Notamacropus eugenii: one gene and its partner. The protein of the gene in region 2 purifies or fractionates together with the protein of the main gene of each other region. This does not show direct contact. Links are inferred from orthologs where the notes say so. Each region holds a gene or a part of one and is shown on either strand. Other genes may lie near its edges.

What was found.
Region 1: the proteins of RPP21 (region 2) and RPP40 purify together in Homo sapiens (co-immunoprecipitation; 3 studies listed by BioGRID and IntAct, counting the BioPlex papers as one, with this or other methods). This does not show direct contact. The link is inferred for Notamacropus eugenii from reciprocal best matches to the Homo sapiens genes RPP21 and RPP40.

What each region holds. Positions count from the first base shown.
Region 1 is NC_092875.1:174,898,711-174,906,459, forward strand, and holds the start of RPP40 (ribonuclease P protein subunit p40), read right to left. Parts: upstream 3,094-7,749; 5' UTR 2,870-3,093; coding exon 2,747-2,869; intron 1-2,746. UniProt on the Homo sapiens protein: Component of ribonuclease P, a ribonucleoprotein complex that generates mature tRNA molecules by cleaving their 5'-ends. Also a component of the MRP ribonuclease complex, which cleaves pre-rRNA sequences.
Region 2 is NC_092873.1:84,415,919-84,422,640, reverse strand, and holds RPP21 (ribonuclease P protein subunit p21), read right to left. Parts: upstream 1,775-6,722; 5' UTR 1,656-1,774; coding exon 1,599-1,655; intron 1,508-1,598; coding exon 1,407-1,507; intron 1,320-1,406; coding exon 1,237-1,319; intron 979-1,236; coding exon 853-978; coding exon of another isoform or gene 822-852; intron 689-821; coding exon 591-688; 3' UTR 510-590; downstream 1-509. Other genes in the region: E3 ubiquitin-protein ligase TRIM39, read right to left, coding at 4,546-5,093, 5,600-5,715, 6,221-6,243. UniProt on the Homo sapiens protein: Component of ribonuclease P, a ribonucleoprotein complex that generates mature tRNA molecules by cleaving their 5'-ends.

The DNA.
Region 1 (7,749 bases), on a different chromosome or scaffold from region 2:
TGAAATAGTGAAAAGCTATAAGGAAGGATAAATGTTTACAAAAGGCTTGGCAAGGCTCTCAATTAATCCAGGTCATCCCCAAAGCATTTAAGAATAAAACTGGAAGCATCACAGCATATTTTTTAAAGGGGGTAGGGGAGGGAAGATCAACCTTCTAATAGTTCTATCAAAGTATTTTATTTTCTCCATTGAAGACAGTTGAGTTACTGTATTTGGACTCTTCACATCACAATCCTCCGATATTCTTTAGGAAGAAACAAAAACGCAACGAATAAAACACTTTAAAATGCAAACGGAAGTAAAATACTTAAACTAACATTATCCGAGGCTTTATCTTTCTAGTCCACAACTACTGGATTAAGTTGGTGACAAGCATCAGGTAAAAGTCACAAAGGCTTCCTGCCTCTTGTCAGGGAGCCGGTGGGCACTATATGTAATGTAGAGGGAATTTCAAACTTAACTATTTAAACAAGCTGTGTTTAAATGTATAAATAAATGGAAATTTATTTTTAAAAAAATGTAAAATGGATAAAAGAAGGGTCCTTGGAATATGTAAAGTCTGACATAGCAAATGGGTTGATTTTGGAAAGAAGGATTATGAATTTAAAAAACACTTCTTAACTGAAATAAATACAAATATTGGAGGATATTAAATGTTCACAGATGTCAATATAATCAAAATGATAATACTGAAATAATTTGCAGAGAAGTACCATAGGTCATTTTACAGAAATAAGCAAAACAATAACAAAATGTATCTGGAGAAACACAAGGTCAAGAATCTCAAGAGCAATTAAATCAACAAGGATTTATCAGTGCTAACTATTAACATAGTTATTAAACGCCTGGCACAACTACAATGTACCAGGCTCTGTGCTAGCACTGGTGATGCAAGTTCAAAGAACTAAAATAATCTTGATAGTGTAAAAAATAAGCAGGAAGGAATGAGACCTGTAAGTACTGGATCTCAAACTATATGATAATGCAATCATTATGAAAGCTTCTTGATGCTGATCAAAAATAGAAAAATTCATCAATGAAACAGAGAAAGTAAACAAGACCTAGAAGCAAATAAGCATAGAAACAGAGTGTTTGATAAACCCAAGTTTATCAACTACTGGAGTAAGAACTCCCTACCTGACAAAAATTTCCAGTTAAATGGCAAACTCCCATTAAAGCAGTCTAGAAGAAATTAAGTTTTTAGAGGACAGTGATATGGAAATCACCCAGTTTCAGTTCCAAAATGTACCAGTAACTTAAGAGAACCTTTAGATAAGTCATGTAATAAATTTCACACCTTGATTAACTTCTATACCTGCAAAACAGGGACAGGTCACAATGCCTGATCCCGCCATCACCTCATCAGTACACTCTATCAAAGCACATGCTAAATTTTATTAAGTAAACACATTTTTATCACCATGGTAATTAGGGGAAGAGAGTCAAGTGTATCTTCTTTGTATCTCTCTCCCGTTAGAATTCAAGCTCTTTGAGGGCAAGAGCTATTTTCATTTTTTTCTTGGTGCCCTCTGCACTAAGCACAGAACCTAACAAATACCAAGAGATCAATAAGTATTTGTTGATTAATATACTCCATAAAGGCGAGAGCTTTGGTAATTTCAGAATTCCTTCCATTATTCACAAGTGTAATCTGATCTCCTATTGCTTGCCTTTTCAAGGCGTAAGAACACAGAGAATTTATATCAAAATTTTTTTAAAAATGATTATAACTTTTTTTACATGTAATTGAGACATTTAACGAAATAAAAAAAAAATTCCTTACAAAGCAACCCCCTCCATTCCCCAAGGCGGGGCTGACTTTGATTCGCAACTGCGAACGATTGCAAATGCATTTGTATCCAATTAGTACTGCACAATGTTTTGATACATACAATATACATACAATGTGTACACACACACACTATACAATTGTATCCAACTAGTACGATACAATATTTTGATACATGTAATATACATACAAAGTATATACATACACACTACAATTGTATACAATGAGTACTACCCAATTAGCACTTTTTGGAAATGTAACCCTCAAATAGGGGTTAACCACAGTCTTTTGGCTTAAAAAGGAAAGTCTTCAACAAAAAGGTGGTGGGGAGGGGAGAGCCTAAGAAGAGTAAACCGGTAAGGGACTGGGGGCTGGGGAGCCAGCACCGGGCCCCGGCAACATCTCGTCAATATTCCTCTCACTGCCCCCCACTCCTGGGGTGACACCCATGGGGGCCCCAAACTCTAGGAGACCGAAGAGATAACAGGAGTGCGCCCACCAATTTCCAGGACTTCTTCCAGCATGGCACTGGGCACTAGTACCAGGGGTTAGAAAACTGAATTCAATTTACTCCTCAGTTTCCCCTTCCGTAAACTAACGGATTGGGACTCTTGGATATCTCCGCAGGGATGTTCCAAGGCTAGAACTGAGATTCCCCAAGGCGAGTCCTATGCCGGCGGCATTGTGGGAGTTGTAGTTTTCCCAGGCGCCAGGACCCTCGGCCACAGAAAAGGCGGAACACTACAACTCCCAGGGCGCTCGGTGCAATCCTCCTCCGCCCCCGCCAGCGCCCTCCCACGGGCCTCCGGGATGTGGCTGGAGAGGAGGCGTGGCGTGGGGAGCAGGCGCGAGGTCCGGGTACGCTTGAGGGCAGCGCCGCCCTCCCCTCCCCGCTCGTCCCACGGGGTGGCGCGGACCACGCCGGCGGGAGAGGAAGTTGCCATGGGCGGGACTCACCCTGTAGTTGTGGTAGTGCGTCTCCACGTGCTGCCGGTGCCGCGACTTGCCATGGCCGAAGTTGGACTTCTCGCACACTAGCAAGTGTCGTGGCGTTTCCTGCAACCTGCGCAAGGTAGACATGGTCACCGGGCCCGTTAAACACCCCCGGGCACGAGAATATCGTATTTTTGCGAACTAGTGACCGCGCTGCGCATGCTCAGTGCTTCCCTCTGCTCTCCCACGTGGTTGGTGGGAACACGCGGCCCGCGGTTCTGTGTCGTGATTGGACGAAACCTTCGGGAGGCAGTCCCAGGAAAAGGATAATTAGGAAGGGAGGGGCTAGGACTGTGCGCCTCCTCGAGACAGCCCTTCCCCTTTCCGTCTTTCCTTCCTTCCTTCCTTCCTTCCTTCCTCCGTCCCTTGCCTCCCCTCCTTCCCTTCCTCCTTCCTCTCCCTCCTTCTCCCTCTTCTCCCATCCCCCTCTTCCTCCTTCCTCTTTTCCTCTTCCTTTTATATTCCCGGTCAGTTTAAGAATCCACATGATCAGAGGTTCTTTTCTACAATGTAGATTGCAATGAATCCTGAGAGACCAGACCCCCCCCCCCCCATAAGTTAACCACGGGAGGGGGCGGTCCTAACCACGAGGGAGCTTTTTTTTGTGCTTTTCCTGACATTACCGTGTTACCAGTGAACTAATAATAATGAATAACCTTTCTATGGTTCTTACGACGGGCTAAGCGCTTTACAGTTACTGTCTCCTTCGATGCTCACAGTCACTCCGGGAGGCAGGTGCTGGTATTATCCTCATTTTACAGATGAGGGAACCGAGGCAGATACAGGTGAAGTGACTTGACCCTCCTCGGCTGGTAAGTGTCTGAATCCTAATTTGAACTCAGGACTTGTGTTCAGCAGGCTCTCCAGGGTGCCACCTACCTGCCCCAGTACTTCATAGTTCTTAGGCCATCCACATCTAATCTCTCGTCGTTGTCAGGGCACAGGCCTGAGTTTTCCAATCATTCGCTTCTTTCGGAGCCATTTATTCCCGTTTCAGTCAATAAACATTTATGTAGCCCCTACTGTGTGCTAAGCACAGTGCTAAGTACTCGGGATACAAAGAAAAAAGGCAGTCCTGGCCCTCAAGAAGCTCACAATGTGATGGAGCAGACAAATATGTACAACAACCTATATACAAATATATGTATTTCCTATATACAGGAAATAATTAACAAAGGAAAGAAGTGGAATTAAGGAGTTGAAAAGGGTTCCTAGAGAAAAGAGGATTTTAGCTGAGACTTAAAGGAAGGCAGTAGTTGGAGAAGAGGCAGGAGAGCATTTCAGACATGGGGGGAGACAGATAAAATGCCCAATGCCAGTGTTTCTTATTCGTTATCTGCCCTATCCAGCTCATATCCTCCATAGCTGCTCCCCTGCATAACGCTCATTTTTAAATCCATGGATACTGTAGAATCTTGTGTCCTTCAACCAGACAATAGTTTTTTAAAATACAGACTTGTTTCCAAGACAGGTTACTTTTCATATCTATGGATAGGGAAAGAGTTCATGACTAACTAAATGACAGAAAGGATCAGGTAAGATAAAATGGACAATGTTGATTATATAAAATTTTAAAGGTTTTGTACAGACAAATCTAATGTAAAAAATAGAAGGGAAACAGGTGATAGAAGGAGGAGGGGGGCATCTTTGCAGTTAGTTTCTCTAGGAACTGATGCAAATTTATAAGACGAATAGCTATCCCCTTGTTGTTTGTCCTTTGTTCTCAGAGGACCGTGACATCATGGAGGTGATGCCATGACATGCAAGTGAATTGGATTTGAGTGAGGGAGGGCTGTTGAAAGTCACCAGCCTCAGTTTCTTCTCCAGAGTCATCTGGGTCCAGTGGCCAGATACACATCAAGATGACTGGAGATGGCCCTCAGATTCATGGAAGACCTTGGACTTTTAAAGCTAAGGTCTTCAGCAGGTCTCAGTTTGACTGAGGCAATGCTCATTCAGTGATTGACTAGGTAAACATAAATGAGGCAAAGAATGACCTCTTCAGCCTAGTTCAGAAAAGAAGAAATCACACTGGGAGGGGAAGACTCACAGGGTTTCTCATCAAAACAGAAACAATTCCTGTTTACATTCTCTGAGTCAATAAGAGCCCAAACTAAGATGAAGTAGGCTTTGGCCTGGGCCCTATTATTGGCCAATTATTGAGAGCTGTTGCCCAGTAGATAAATGGCCAAAGGTTATGACCATGCAGTTTTCAAAGAAAGAATCCAGACTATCAAGAATCACATAAAAAGTATCTGAATCACTAATAATTAGAAATATATAAGAGCAATTCAGAGGTTCTTCCTCACACCTATCATATTGACACATATCACTGGTAGGCCACTTTCCCAAAGAAATCAGAGAAAGTGGAAAGAAGATCTATATGTATAAAAATAATTTTAGCAGCTCTTTTTGAGGAATTACTAAACAAATATTGGTATATGAATGTAATGGCATGCTCGGCCTAATTGCCGTGGGCTACCCGAGTCTGCTTACCTTTCACAGGTCTTCGGTGATCAGGTGGATAAACATATTGAGAAGAGACTTTCCAGAGTCAAACAAGGTGGTAGGCTTTATTCAGGGTCTTAGTTACGTATCCATATGCAGGGCGAGTTCTTCCCCAGGAGAAAGGAACCCCTCTCCTCCCAAGGAGCAAGGATCATACAGCAAGAGGACAGGAGCGGAAGAGAGGAGGGACCCTCTTCCCTCCAAGGACCCCGACGCAAGGGGCCCCCTCAGGCTTTCCTGTCCCTACTTAAGCTCTCCCAGCCGCATAGTTTGCACGTGAATACCGTGCGTGCTCCCAGCCCCTAGCTAATTAACAGCAGGTGTGCTCAGACCAAGGACCAATCTCAAGGGTGGGATGCTCTCCCCAGCAAGTTTCCACTGAGAAGAGGTGGAAAAACAAGATAGCCCATGTTTCACTCCTGAATTCCCAGCAGTTCCCTGGGGGGGCCTCATGAGAGCTCTGAGGTTTAGAAGCCCTCACCTTTACCTGACCCGAGACTGTTCACGTTGAGTGGAATAGGTTTAGTGAAGACTTCTCAGATTGTAATTCTTCTCCCAGGGGTGAGGTAAGACTGAGAGGCTCAAGGTTACTATATTTTTAGAACAGAATAATTCCATATAAGGATATAAAACTGTGTAGTACATTAGGGTCTCAATGGTTGGATAAAGTTTACCTAATTCTTCAATGTCTTCATTTCAAAAGGGATTGGTTAGATTTCATGTCTAGAATGTAAGATCATATTCTCAGCTAATGAGAATAATGGTCAGTGAGGGGGGGGAGGGATTTGCATTAGGGTCTATATAAATCACCGCCTTTTCTTTGTCTTCGGCTTTTTCCTGGTAGAGGAATTGCCTGATTCTTGAGAATCTAATAAATAAACTTTCTGTCATCACTTTGAGAGGCCTCTGAGTAATTGATTTAAGTAGGGATCTGAGCCATCCCACACAACGTGAAAACTGAGCTTACACCCCAACAATGGCATATAAATGTGCTAGAAGAAATGATGAAATGGAAAATTTCTAAGGAAACTGAGAAAACCGCTATGATAGAGAGTGAAGTGAGCAGAACTAGAAAACCAATTTGTAGAATGATAAGAGTATAGAGAAAAATGACTTTGAAAGACTTTAGAACTCTGATGAATACTATAATAAACCAAATGAATAAAAATGGAGGTGGAGCCAAGATGTTGGAGTATCAGCCAGAAGTCTGCTGAGCTCCTTCCCCTTCCCCACCCACACCCTTGCCAAAAAAAAAAAAAAAAGGAATTGAAGCAGTGTGCCACACTTTCTAGAAGTTTGGCTGCCTAGGAGAGGAAGAAATAGGAAAATAACAATTGACAGATTCAAGCAAAACTGGGTGATTGTTCTCAAGATTTGTGGAGGACAGTTACTGGACCTGTTGTTTCTTTCATAAAGGGAAAAGCAAAGTGAGGAAACCCTCTCCCAATGCAAATTAGCACCTTCTGTGAAATTTAAAATCTTAGAAATTTGTCTAGAGCAATAAGTGGTTAAGTGACTTGTCCACGGTCATACAACCTATGTATGTCAGAGAAGGGACTTGAACCCGTGTTGTCCTAGCTCTGAGGTTGATCCATTACACTGAACTGCCTCTCAAGGACAATAGAGAATTATCTAGAACAATGATAGGTTAAGTGACTTATCCAGGGTCACACAGCTGGACTTACTGTCCTAGCTCTGAGGTTGGTTCTCCAACCATTACAAGACAGTGGATAGTAGTAGCATATTAGTAGACTGAAAAGAGGGATCCAGAAGAGAATGGATCTGAAGATGTGTGAAAGAGGAGGTAGTTGATGGATCCAGGTCAAGAAAGAGATCAGAGGGGATGAAGTAGAATCAAGGATACTTCCTTAACTTTGGGCTTATCGTTGCCATGGGGGATCACCTCATCCTCTAAGATTAGAGAGAAGGAGTTGAGGATGGGAGAAGACACTGAAAGATTAAAAGAAATGCAGGAGCCAGATTGAGGGAGTTCAGAATTAAGAATTGAATTTCATTTCTCTCAGGTTGACATCAATCCATTAATTATCATCATTAACAGCAAGCAAATATTAAGTGCTTACTGTGTGCAAGGCACTATGCTAGGCACTGGGAATACAAAGAAAAGCAGTCTGGTCATTCTACCAATTCTGAATCTATTTCACTTTGCTATCATCCAGCCCATCTTTCCATCTTCCCCATAAGGCTATAAGGAAAGATGTCATCAAATATCTTGCTTAAGGTCAGGGATATTATATTTATGAGAGTCCCTTGATCTGTGGTCTAATAAGTAACCTTGTTTTTTTTAAAAAGAAGGAGGTTAATGCATTATTTCTTGGCTTGTGAATATTTTGAAGTTAATAGTTGGGAAACAGTGACAATTAAAACTTTTTGGTAACTATGGGATAATTTTATGTTTACTCTTAATGTCATGTCTGACAGAAATGTGAATTTCATTTTAT
Region 2 (6,722 bases):
TTCATCAATTTCATCTCTGTAAAATGTGAGGTTTGGATCAAAAGATTTCCAAGATCTCTACTTTCTACATTCAATTTTTTTTAGGTTTTATGAAACACTATCATGTCAGGAACTGTGAATTCATTGCTCATGACTAGGTTTAACACATCTTTACACAGGTTATTTCCTTCAAAGAATGTCTTTTCAACCATTCTTTTCTCCATTCCAACCTGGCTAGAATTGGTCTCAAACTGACTTTCATGATGGATCCCCTGCCTAATGGGACCTTCACTCATGTTCTGGTTTCCAGCTCTCAAAACTTTCAGAGTTGGTTTATAGAATGACTTTTTATTTGTGGATGTGTTTTACAGCTACTCTTATTTCCATTTGTACCCCACAGCTTGTAGACTGTATTTGAAACTGGTTTCTCTAACTCCAATACTCCAGTTCCAGGGCTCTTTCTTTACAAGTTGTGGCAAAGAAAAGACTTGATCTACACGCTAGAGACACAAATAAAGAGAGCCAGAACAAAACTTTTGAGTACTTTAGTGAACATTTTATCTGAAGGACAGCCCATATTTCCTAGGCCTTTGCAGAAGATACCCTCTCAGTCATTGTATTCTGAGGTCCTGATGGTGCAATTTTTCCCCTGATGGCTGGGCTGAGACTTGATGGCTTGTGTGGGCTACAGACCTAGTGGATTTGAGGTCTGGAGACAGAAGCAGAAAAAGCTCGATCCACAACAGTGTCCCTTGGCATCCACCCAGACTCTACCTCCATCCTCCCATCCCACTTGATATAAGGTCTTCCCCTGATTAATTCATCCCATATTTTTATTCCACCTGGCGATTAGGAATATTTTCATCTCCTCACCGGCCTGGTTCCCCAGCTGGGCCTCAGGCCGGTCCCCCCAGAGCTGGTGTCTGGGGTCATTGAGAAATCTGCGGCTTCGACGGCACGTTAGACAAGTCTGGACGGTCCAGCGCTGGCCCAGGCGACCTTGGAGGGGTTGGGGCAGAGTGTGTAGAGAAGGCCTGTCTGGCCTCCCACGGGTCCCCAGCCCTAAAGCTTCCAGCGGCCCCTAAACATTACAGACGGGGACTCCCAACCCAGTTTCCCGAGGTGGGGCTTCACCAGTAAAGACGACAAAGGCTAGAGATAACCTGGCGTGGCCCACGAGTTCCTAAACCAGAACGTAAGGCGGTCCGGCCCGTCACCACTCCCACTTCGTCCCTTCAGGGCGGCGGGAACACTCACGCCGCTGCCGCTGGGTGCAGGTCAGGCCGGGGATGAGCAGGGAGGAGCAGCTGCGACACAGGGTCCTCTTGACCGAAGGGTCCCTTAGCGGGCGAGGACCGACATGAAGTCACCGTCGGGCCTCCCCCGCCGCCCAGGTGCCCCCCCGCCCCCCCCCCGCGCAGCCTCACTGTCGCAGGACGAGCCGCTTGCCGATGGTTCTTTCCGTGTGGCAGTAAAACCTCGCCAGCGCCTGGTTCTCGGGGTTCTGGGCCAAGACGCAGTGGGCAGCCTAGCGAGGGGGAAGCGGCGCTGGTCGTTCCTGGGCCCACGCGAACCCGCCCGCCCCGCTTCCCCTGCCCTTCTCTCCGTCGCACCCTTACCTGGTACAGGAAGCTGAGCCTCTGAAAAGCCTCCTTATCCTTCACCTGCCCCGCCATCACCTCTGCAGTCCGTACACACCCCGGCCTCCTCGAACGCCACCCCGCCCCGCGTACTACACGCGCGGTGCCTGCTGGGAGTTGTAGTCTCCCCGGTCTTTACATAAGCAAATACTTTCAAAAGGGGAACCTCCCCCTCCTACGGCGGATACTTCCACCCAGGCCCCGCCTCCTAAGCATAGCGGGCCACTTATTGTGCAACCACGTGCAACTCGTTTAAACCCTCTTTGCCTCCGTTCTGTCACCTTTCTATCCTAACTCGACCCTCTACTCCCCCGTCCCAATTTCTATGTCACTAGGAATTCAGGTGTCAAAGATCCCCTTTTGCTTTCTTCGTGGGACTCTCTAACTCCACCCAAGACCTGCCAAATCTCGATAAACAGAGAGGGAGTAACTAGTGATGGAAAAGCAACATTTAGAACTTAAGGAGATCACAATCCAACACTTTTACAGCTTAAGAAACAGGGCCAAAATGAGTTACCTAAAATCACAGCTAATAAGGTCGGAGCTCAAACTGGTCCTTAAGACTCCAGCTCCAGCGCCTTTCACTACAGTGTCTGCCTTGTAGGGTTGTATAACCTTTTCTATTTCTTCAAGGTTACAGGACAGAAGCATCTCACATCTTTTCCCATATTCAAAGATCATGAAATCTTAACCTTCCAAACAAGGGTATGGGAGCATAAGATGACATAAAGCACTTGGCAAGCCTTAAGTGCTAAGGAAAACAAGCTTTCCTTTTCACATGACAGTGGAGGGACCGGAGACAAAAAGGGTAGTGTAGATCTGCTGGAAACTCATATCCCAAGATGCCCCCACAAGCAAGGATGAGTAGTGCTAGAGATTAAAAAAAAAAAAAATTACAGATTTTTTTCTCATCACACTTTTAGATGCCTTCTAGAACATGATAGAGGGCTAGCTTTTGAATCAGGAAAGTGTACATTTGTATCTACTGTAGGATATGTACTGGCCCTGTGACCTTAATGCCACTTTTAAGTGGATGCCCTGGGAAACTATCAAACTTTGTGGCCTAACGAGGAATTAGTGAAATCATAGGTCTGGCCAAAAGTAAAGGAGTACTGGCTTGGCTTTGGAGGCAGGCCTGAATTCTCATGCTACCTGTCACTGTGACTCTCTAACCTCCATGAACCCGTTCCCTCATCTGTAAAGTGCCTCTATGGCTCCTCCCAGTTCTAGTTCTGTGATCATATGTGTGAATAACTTAACTGAAATGAAAAGGTATTAGTTCTCTACCTCTAGTCCTGATGAATTAGAAAGATGGTAGGCAGATTTTTAACCTTATTCTGCTTTGTTCTCCACAAAATAGATGCTATTAGCTTTTCACTAGAGCTCAGTATTAACATATTTAAGGGTTAATATTATTTCCCATAACTTTACTAGCCCAGTAATAACCAACAAAAATAGGGGCCTAGGCAAAGAATTAAAGATAAAACCTTTCTTTAAAGGGAGGTGGGGCAGGGAGCCAGGACAAATCTGATTCACTCTATAAGCTTGTGATGGTGATGCCTGTTTGTATGTGAAGTCTTGGTTACCAACAGCCACAAACGATTTGGTTTTGGACTGTGTAATGCTTTTGGCAACATATCTGCCTTTTTTCTACTTTGGCCAGACTTAGTTTGAACATGGTGGTAATCAGGTATGATAAAGGGTAATAGGTTTAGAAGCTTGGATTCAGGATTTAAAGACAGGCTGTAGGAAATCCCAGTTTATAAACTTATAATGGCTGTGGGGCCCCACCCCACCCATCCTGACAGCCCCAAGTATAAAGAGTGGATGGGTGAGGAGAAACATATATTTCTAGTTCCATTAATGGCACAGTCAGTATTAAAATAAGATAGAAGGAATCTCAGAGATAATCTGCCCCATCATTTAACAGATGAGGCAAGAAACTGGCTAAAGATCATACAGCCACTAAATGATAGAACCAGGATTTGAACCTGTTTCCAAAGCCCAAATCCAGTGCTTCCCCTCACCCCCACCCCAATCCTGCTACTTCCCCATTACCTTTGTGCTTGAGCCCCAAGCTATTCAAACCCTCTTCAGGGCAAGGACAAGTTGAAACAATTCTTTCTCTATCTACAATTCCTGAGTCATCCAGAGTAGTGTCTGCCATTTCTGGGCTCAAAACATTTCTGTCTCTACCCCTCACCAGGGGAAATAGATAGATAGGTTGACTCCATGAAAGCTGGAGGAGGTATTGCTTTTTCTTCTTCTCCACCACACCTGGCTAGGGTAAAGTGACAAGAGGAGGCTCATTTTCTATTCTTCCCTGTTGCTGGAACCTCCTCTGGCTCCTCTTCAAACCCCTTTCCTAACTCTTCTTTCCCCATTTTTTTAGACTTTGCCCCAGACCAACTTTAACACTCTTCTTCCCATGTGACTGACAATTAACCTTTATTTCATTCTAGGGATACAGAGATTATCCTGCTTCCCTCAAAGGAACAAAACTGTCCTGGGCATATAGAATCACCCAAAATGGGTGGGCAGAGGCTTTAGGGTTCTCCGAACCTACTTCTGTTTTGGAGGGAAGGGGACCACCTAAAGTCCTCCTGCAATGAGGAAACTGGTGGAGCACAGTGCAGGCAACCAAGACAGCCTTACCTTCAGTAAACCTCTCCCCTCTCCTCTTCACATAATGGGAAAAGAACAGTCTCCAGATGTGTGATCTCTTGAGACTCTCTTCCAGGCCCAGTCTCTTTCCTAGGACAACCTTCCCTCCCACTACCTCACTTTCTCCAGGAGAATACAGGACATAAGCCTGACAGTAAGGAAACCTCTAGCAGCAGGACACAGGAAATTAAGAGACACAGTTCCAAATACCTGTCTCCCCTGTCATCATTACTTCAACATCCCACCCTGTTCCTTCCCATCATCATTCCCAATCTGTAGGAGGCCGAATGGTAAGAGGTGCTGCATTCTTTCGCCCTGCTCGGATACCCGGGTAGAAGAGTGGCCAGAGTTTTTCAGTGAAGGTATCAGTAAAAGTATAGATGTGGGAGCGGTCAGTGACATTGTAGAAAGACAATGTGCCAGCCTCATAGTCCAGGAATACACCCACCCGCTTGGGTTTCACTTTTATGCAGAGAGGGGTGAAAGGTGAGGTCGTGGCTGCATATTTGTCCCCATTCCACAGTCGCACCCTCCAGTATCCTGTCTCAGGTAGTGGAGTTAGCTCGCCTTTTCTGCTCACAGAGTCCTGGCACACACCTACTGCCCAGTGGGTCTTATCACCCACCTCCACCTCCCAGTAGTGACGACCTGAGGTGAAGCCCTCTGTGGCCAGGACACAGGGGTAAAAGGTAAAGCGCCGAGGTGTATCAGGTAAGTCCCGAAGCCGAGTTTCCACAAACTTGACACTTTTTCGGTCCTCTGATAGGACTAGGTTAGGGTGAGCTGTCTCTGGGTCCAGGATCACATCCGCTGCAGGAAGAGGCCAGAGTAAGGGAGAAGGTGGGAAAGATGCAATGGACCTAACTCTGTAAGGCCTATCTTCTCTATTATCCCCCAATCACTATATTTAGTTGATTTTTAATCCTTCATGTTCCATGATGGAGGGAGAATACTATTTTCATTCTAATCCCAATGTGTTCACTTAGAGCAAACTCTTGACTATCCAAAAGCTAATTGGCTAGGGGGGGATTAATTCAGGTTTCAGCTTTCTCCATTTTTTTGGTTCACTAAAATCTGCCCCAATGTATTGAAGAGGGGGAAGGGCAAAGACTGAGGGCCAGAAAGAGGGAAATAGTAAGTTGGGAAGGAGAGATGACAAGGCTGAGGGTATGAGAAAGAAAGAATAAGGAGAGACTGGAGGCCAGTCAAGGGAGGTGGGTGGGTGAGGAAGGGTTCAGGAGGCAGAGGGGAAAGACCTAAGGAACCTCTCCTCCCTATATATTCTTGCAGCTAGTTCTCTTTTTGGCCCAACTCACCCATCAGCTGTTTAAGGATCTTCCTTAGGGCAAAGTACTGTCGGGGAAAGCTGCTGAAGTTCTTTTCCAGCTCAATGGAGACCGAGGTCACCTCCATGGTCTTCACCTTCTCACATCTGGGAGGGGGTGGGGTGGGAGTGGGGATAAGGGGCCAGATCAAGGAAATGCCCTAAGCAACTGGGTCACAGCTATCCAAGTCTTCAAAGAGAAGCTGTGATCTCCAGTCCTTCCCATTTCTTGCTCCCTAAACTACCGCCAAGAATTCCTCTCCTGTTTGATTCTCTCCCTTAATCCAGTCTGCTAGGTGGGGGAAGATGGGAGGGGCAGCACAGGGTCCCCAAATAACCTCTCCTTTCCGAGTTCTCTATAGGTCCCTTGGTACCCCTTTATTCCATCTCCTCTAGGTCCCATTCCAACTGGTAGATTGAGACAGGATTGAATTCCGTCATCGCTCAGTGTTTAGGGAAATATAAGCAATAAACTGGGAGAAGAGGGTGCTGTCAAGGCCATTCCAGTGACCTCGTGCCTCTCAGTGCTAGGGACCTTTCTCTCCCACACTAAGGCCCTGTCTGACCTTGATCCCCCCACCACAGGCAGCTGGTCCAAGGAGGAGTCACTTACTTTTCCAGTGTGCTTTTGACATCCTGTAGGAGAGAAGGGAGCAGAATTAATTTTGTCTTTTATTGCCCTCCTACTCCTGCCCCGCCTTTAGCTCATCCCAGCCCTGAGAGTCCTCCCCAAGGTTCCCAGGTGTTCAGTGTCTCCAATCTGTTGATTTAGAGAAAGCAAAACATCCTAGAAATAGGAAGGACAAGGGGATAGAGCCAAGTGTGAAGGGGAAAATTCTGGATGGGGCTCAGAGCCTCACTTGACATATCCCTTCTATTTGGTTTGGAATTTGAGGTTCAACTTTGTTCCTTTAAAATGAAACTCAGAAATTATTTCCAAATTGTTTAAGGTATGTTTGGCTGTGTTTTTCCACAACCTGCATAGCAGATAGGAGGCTGGTATTGGAATTGAGAATATCTGAGTTCAAGTCCTATATCAGAAGCTCATGAGCTGTGTGACCACTGTGAACTTCAATGTCCAGGCAATTAAGACAAAGTGAATGTGATATGCTCCA